Canis lupus familiaris: one gene and its partner. The protein of the gene in region 1 interacts with the protein of each later gene in a pairwise test. Links are inferred from orthologs where the notes say so. Each region holds a gene or a part of one and is shown in the gene's direction. Other genes may lie near its edges.

Region 1 (2,483 bases):
TGGCACAGCCCCTTTTCCTCCACACTAGTCATTGCCTTTGGGTCACTGCTGAGGTGGCCTAAATATACTCTCCATTCTCCACACCTGGGTCCAGCTGTGGCGCCAGCAAGGGGTTGGGTGTCCTGAGGGCCCCCACAGCCACCGCTGACCTGTCCTCCGTGCCTTTCTCACAGTGCAGGAGGTGAAATGTGACATGGAGGTGAGCTGCCCAGACGGCTACACCTGCTGCCGTCTGCAGTCAGGGGCCTGGGGCTGCTGCCCTTTTGCCCAGGTACCCAGGAGTGGTGGGTGGGCTGGGCTGAGCAGAAAGTGGCAGCCAGCTAGGCCTCGTGCCCATTGTCCCCTGTCCATTCACCCTAGGCCGTATGCTGTGAGGACCATGTACACTGCTGCCCGGCTGGGTTTAAATGTGACACAGCGAAGGGCACCTGTGAACAGAACGCCCCCCAGATGCCCTGGATGGTGCAGGCCCCAGCCCGCCTTCAGCTGCTGAACCCCCAGGCCACAGAGAATGATGTCCCCTGTGATAACGTCACCAGCTGTCCCTCCTCCAATACCTGCTGTCGACTTATGTCCGGGGAGTGGGGCTGCTGTCCTGCCCCAGAGGTGTGTGGGTAGGGGGAGAGCATGGCAGGGGGATGACAGGGTCTTAGCCAAGGCAGGTGGCCAGCCTCCTGTTGCTTTGCTCTTCTCTCCCCTGCCTGGCCCACAGGTGGCACACCAGCTGGGTCAAGTTCATTCCCAGCTGGGGGAGCTGTGAGCAGGAGAGGGAGTCGGGCTAGGCAGGGGCTTAGCTTTTTGTCCCACATGGCAGCTTCCCAGACCATCCTGTTCTACCACTGTCCCCCCTACCCCCCCCCACCCCTGCCAGGCTGTCTGCTGCTCAGACCACCAGCACTGCTGCCCCCATGGCTATACGTGCTTGGACGACGGGCACTGTCAGAGGGGGAGCAAGGTGGTGAGTGGACTGGAGAAGATGCCTGCCCGCCGGGCTTCCCCATCTCACCGCAGGGATATAGGCTGTGACCAGCACACCAGCTGCCCCGTGGGACAGACCTGCTGCCCAAGCCTGAGTGGAGGCTGGGCCTGCTGCCAGTTGCCTCATGTGAGTGCCCCCCCCCCACCACCACCCCACCTGCCCTGCACAGGGGGTCTGAGTCTCCCAGGGAGAGGAGGGGAGAGTTGAAGGCTGCCCTGTCCCTCCCAGGCTGTGTGCTGTGAGGACCGTCAGCACTGCTGCCCAGCCGGGTACACCTGCAACGTGAAGGCCCGATCCTGTGAGAAGGAGGCAGACTCGACCCACCTGGCCGTCCGCCTGGCCCGTGGCCCTCGCGTGGGTGTGGGGAACGTGAAGTGTGGGGAAGGGCACTTCTGCCATGATAACCAGACCTGCTGTCGAGATAGCCGAGGAGGCTGGGCCTGCTGTCCCTATCACCAGGTCAGTGCTCCCTCACCCCTGCCCTGGAGCTGGGTATCCCTGAGAGCCAGGTGCCCCACTCTGACCCCCTGCCCCCACCCATCTGTGGCCGTCCAGGGTGTCTGTTGTGCGGATCAGCGTCACTGCTGCCCCACTGGCTTCCACTGTGGGGCCAAGGGCACCAAATGTCTACGGAGGGAGAGCCTGCGCTGGGACATGCCACTGAGGGACCCAGCCCCAAGACCGCTGCTGTGAGGCGAGCCGAAGGACTATAGAGTCTGCAGCCCTTGGGACCCTGCTCGGAGGGTCCCCACTGCTCAGGCCTCCCCAGCACCTCTCCCCCACCAAATTCTCCCAAGTCCCCCATCCTGAGTCCCACCCCCATCATGGTTGCTGGGGCCTCAACCTAAGGCCTTCCCTATCTCAAGGGAGGCTGTGGCGAAAGCCATGTTACAAGCTGCCATCCCTCCCTGTTTCCGTCTACCCTGTGGCCAGGTGCTCTTCCCTATCCACAGGTGTATGTGTGTATGTGCTGCAGTAAAGTTTGTACACTTTCTTAACAGCGTCTGATTTGACCACCTTGCCTGCCCTACTCTGAGAAGGGCTCCCACCCAGTGTCCGTGTTCCCCAACCCCACAGAAAGACACACACACACAGAGTTAATCTCACCAGTTTTATATTTGCTGTTGCCCACAGCAATCCCATCACACGATCCCCTAGTCCCCAGAGCCGCCCCAGCCACCAGCCCTGTGACATTGTAGCCCAGAGATGGGCTAGTCAGCAAGCAGCACCCCCTCCCCTCCCGGGGGTCCACAGAGAAGGCCCCCTCCCTTCCCGGCCCTCACACTAGCAGCTGAGGCCCGGTCGCCCCTCCTGCTTCCCCACAATAGATCTTTCTATGTACAGCCACGTTTATACAGGCACTGCTTCCCCCCACCCAGCCCTCCTTCCCCAGCACCTCCCCAATGGGGGTCTGGACCCCTCCCACCTCCTCCCTCTTGGAGGCTGACCCGGGTCCCTCCCGAGACCTCACCCAGCACGTACCACTGGACAGCTCCGCAGGCCC
Region 2 (3,943 bases), on another chromosome or scaffold:
TCAAACTTTTCACTCCGCCTGTTGGGATGGAGGGGAGGGGGGACTAGGGAAGCCGGGGAGGAATTCCTCGAAAGGGACCCAAGTGGTGCCTAATACTCAGAAGGAGGTGCCACCTAAGAGGAACCGCCTGGCTCAAGGTTGGGGCGAAACCCTTTTGGGGGGGTGGGGGCGGGGGGCGCCTGGAGACGTCCAGCAGGTACGCGGGCTCCAGAAGTTAGTTCGGCTGGGAAATGGGCTTCGCCAGTACGAACAATCCGGGGAGACGGCCCCGAGGAGGCTCCCTCTGCGGCGCGGGAGGAGGAGACGGAGGCCGGGGGTCTGTGGCCGCGTCTGCCGCCCCCGCCCCCGCCCCCGCCCCCGGTGCAGGGCGCCCGCGAAGGAGGCGGGGTGCGGAAGGGAAAGTTTCCCGTTAAGACCTCCCGGGGCAGGAGGAGAGCGGGCGCCTTAAGGGGGCAGGAGCCGCGGGGCTCCAACGCCCGGGGAGACGCGCCGAGGACGGGCGCGCGGGCCCCGGGGGACGCGCAGCAGCGGGGGAGCGGCGGGGCCTCCCCCGCGGGGGCCGAGCGGGCCAGGCGGGGTCCGCGCCCCCCGCCGCCCCCGGCCCCCGCGCCCGCCGCGTCCGTCCGCAGGTGGCGGCGCGGGGAAGGCGGCCGCTGGGGCCCGGGGCGCCGCCCGGGGGGAGCCGGGGGGGCCCCCACTGCCCTGCAGCCCGCGGCCCCGGACTCCTCGAGCGCACAGCCCCGCCGCCGAGCCGGGTGGCGCGCGGGAGAGCCCGGGAACCGGTTCCCCGGCCCCGCGTCTCCTCTCCGCCACTCCCTCGCGGGCGCCGACAGGGCGAGCGAAGGGCGGGGACCCCCCCCCCCGGGCCGGCCTCGGGCCCCGCGTCCCCCCTCCGCCGACGGGCCCTGGCGCTGCGGCCGCTGTCCTCGCCTCGCTCTGCGCCGCGTTTGTCAGCCCAGCCCTGGAGTTAGCGCGCGCCCGGGGCGGGGCGGGCGGGCGCCGAGGGCGGGGTGCAGGGGGCGGAGGAGGGCGGGGGCGCGCGGAGGTAACCCCCGGCTCGGGCTGCCATTGCCCGGCTCGCTGTCACTCAGCCCGCGCGGGGCCGGGGATTGGCAGCACGGCCCCGTTACGCACTCACCTCGCGTTCACATACCCGGGGAGGGCAGTAGAAAGGTGATCAATCTTCATCAGGCTACATTTCCAATCACCTAAACAACCCGGCAAGACAAGCCACTCCGACAAGGTAAATCGCTTGATTTATTTAGTTCGCAAAGTGCCTCGGCGGGACTCCCCTGGCCCCCGCCGCCTCCGCGCTGCACCCGGACTGCAACTGCAGCCTCGAGCCGCCCCCCAACGCTGCCCCTCTCACCCCCCACCCGCCTACCCCTTGCGGCCCCTCGGCGCGGTCCCGGGCGACGTGGTGTCTCGGGGACGCGTAGGGCTTTGCAAACAAAGTGTCTGTGCAATAAAGTGAAACCTGGAGGGACCCGCACAAAGCCACCGGGAAGAAAGAGAAGGCAGGAGGGAAGTTGGGGAAAGCAAGAACCCCGGGGAGCCGGGACCCGCCGTCCGGCCCGGCGAGTAACCCCCGCGCCCTCTGTCTTTGCAGGTCGGCTGCCCCGCGGGCCTGCGCGAGGGCGCGAGGTAGATGGTGAGCGGCCCCGGCAGCCGAGGGCAGGTAAGCAGACAGCCGCGGGGCCGCCCTGGCTCCGGGAGCGCGCCGCCTGCTCCCACCCCGGCCCCCGAGCCGGTCCCCGCTTCCCAGGTCCCCGGCAGGTGGGCGGGGCTGGGGGGCGGCCTGGCTCCCCTCCCGGCGCGCGGAGGACCCCCGATCCCCGCCGCGGCCCCGCGGCCCCTCCCCCGCCTCCTCCGAAGTCAGCGAGCTCAAGTGCTAAGTTTGAAGAAAGTCTCTGGAAACTCACGCTGCAGCTCGGCAGAGGCGCGGCGGCCCGGCGTGCCCCCCTCTCTCTGGGCCCCGGAGCCCCGGGCTGCCCCTCCTTCGCCCCCCTTTCCCTGCCAGCTGGGGTCCGCCAGCCCAGACCGTGGGGCCTGGAGGAGGGGCGCGGGAGGCCGCCCCGGCTCTCCCCGCCCTCCCCGAACTCCCCAGCCCGGCCCCGGGCCTGCTTTGAATCCCCCGCGACGCGGGGTGCAGCGCAGGGTCCCCCGGGGCCGCGGCCGCGCCCCCCAGCTCCACTCCCTGCCCCTGCGAACGGCGCCGCGGGGGGAGGCGAGCGGGGAGCCGGGCTTCGACCTGGCGGCCCGGGTCAGCCGAGCTGCGCCGCCGAGGCCTAGTCGCGTCGGCCCTGGGCAGGGTCCTGGGCCGCGGGCCGGGCGGGCGGGATAGGCCGGGAGCACGCGGGGGCGCGGCGCCCGGGCCTCCCCGATCCGCGACCCCTCGGGGCGCCGGGCGGGCCGCCCTCCGGCCTCCGCCCGGGCCGCGCTGTCCGCAGCCAGCAGCCAGCAGCCAGCAGCGGGCAGAAAGCAGCGGCGGCGGGCGTTGTCGGGGAGGGGGCCTGCGGCGGGGCCTGGGCGCCCCTGACCCCCCGCCGCGCCCTGGAGCCCCCGCGGCCCCCGCGTCCGCGTCTCCTGGCCGCCGTGGGCCCGGGCCTGTTACTGTGGCCCAGGTGTGCTGGGCTCCCCGGGGAGCGGCCTCTCCGCGGCCGGGCGCAGGGAGGTCAACTGGCAGGGTGGCCGTGGGCTCGGGGGCCCAGACCCAGCGGGGACACCCTTGCAGGAGCGCACCCTAAGTGGGCCCTGCCACCCGGAGAGGCCCAGGTGCCGCTAGCCTCCCGCGGCGCCTCACCTTAGCTCTCCCCGACCCTCCACCTTTTCATCCCGCTTTTCAAAAACATTTTGAAACGAAACGAAACAACCTCTGGTGCCCTGGGCAGCCTGCCTCACTGGCGCCGAGTAAACGTTTGCTCTTGCAGTATGGAGGCCGGCTCCTACCCGACCAGAATTTGGCCTAGACTTGGGACCTTGCACGCCGGGCGTTTTAGGCCCTCACTTTCCAGCTTGGCCCTGCTTTTAGCCTCTCCGCACTCCTAGCGACGCCCTACGAGGGTCTTTTACCCATTCCACGCCTGAGAAGAGGCGATGACGATCCAGAAAAGCTGACTTTTCAAAGAAGCTGTGGTCTTCCGGCCAAGGCCTTGTAGAGCCAAGCTGACCGCCCTTCCGAGTTCCGCAGGCCTGCGTGCCCTCCCCAGCCCCCGGCTGCTCGCCTCCGACGAGACCAGGAAACCGAGATGGCTCCCAGTCACTGTTTACCTGTGTCTCCTGTCTCCATAGGCCGGGCCCCCCGACGCAGCAGAGTTTGAAGGACTGCGCAGTGGGAGCCCCGCACTGCGCCTGGCCCCGGCCCCCTGGATCCGTCCGGGCGCCTCCACCCGGCTGTTAGCATGATGTCTTACCTCAAACAACCCCCATATGGCATGAACGGGCTGGGCCTGGCCGGGCCAGCCATGGACCTCCTGCACCCTTCCGTGGGCTACCCGGGTGAGCACCAGTCCCTGCCCCCAGCCCCTGCAAATCTTGGGGACGCCCAGACTCTTGAGTTTGAGCGCACACTCGGTGTCTGAGCAGGCCCGGGGAGTGGGATGGCGGGTCTGCCTGCAGTGCTCTGCACGCCGCAGGCTCACAGGGCAGTGGCGGGTGCATGAGGCAGGCCAGGCCAGTGAAGCTGGGCAATCTGTCTCTTGTGGTCCCACCACCAGCACAGGGCCCACTTACCCAAGGATTCGTTTCTCATGGGTGGCTTTTTTGGGGTGTGTGTGTGTGTGTGAATCTATTCCTTTCCTCCCAATGTTGAAAGAGAGATTTGGACACTCTCTAGGCCCTGACAGGAAGGGCCAGGCTTTTCTTATGAGAAGTGACTGGCTGAGACGAAGAAGAGGGGCTCTCCCTCCCTAATTGAATTGTCCTCTACATCCGCTGTCTGCAC

What was found.
Region 2: the proteins of GRN (region 1) and OTX1 interact in binary tests that used the Homo sapiens proteins (3 or more experiments, as listed by UniProt). The two-hybrid records come from large-scale screens. The link is inferred for Canis lupus familiaris from reciprocal best matches to the Homo sapiens genes GRN and OTX1.

What each region holds. Positions count from the first base shown.
Region 1 is NC_049230.1:18,952,343-18,954,825, reverse strand, and holds the end of GRN (progranulin), read left to right. Parts: intron 1-173; coding exon 174-271; intron 272-360; coding exon 361-606; intron 607-871; coding exon 872-1,105; intron 1,106-1,207; coding exon 1,208-1,438; intron 1,439-1,534; coding exon 1,535-1,672; 3' UTR 1,673-1,977; downstream 1,978-2,483. UniProt on the Homo sapiens protein: Secreted protein that acts as a key regulator of lysosomal function and as a growth factor involved in inflammation, wound healing and cell proliferation. Regulates protein trafficking to lysosomes, and also the activity of lysosomal enzymes.
Region 2 is NC_049231.1:64,119,880-64,123,822, forward strand, and holds the start of OTX1 (homeobox protein OTX1), read left to right. Parts: upstream 1-1,131; 5' UTR 1,132-1,243; intron 1,244-1,609; 5' UTR 1,610-1,678; intron 1,679-2,889; exon of another isoform or gene 2,890-3,291; 5' UTR 3,292-3,401; coding exon 3,402-3,498; intron 3,499-3,943. UniProt on the Homo sapiens protein: Probably plays a role in the development of the brain and the sense organs. Can bind to the BCD target sequence (BTS): 5'-TCTAATCCC-3'.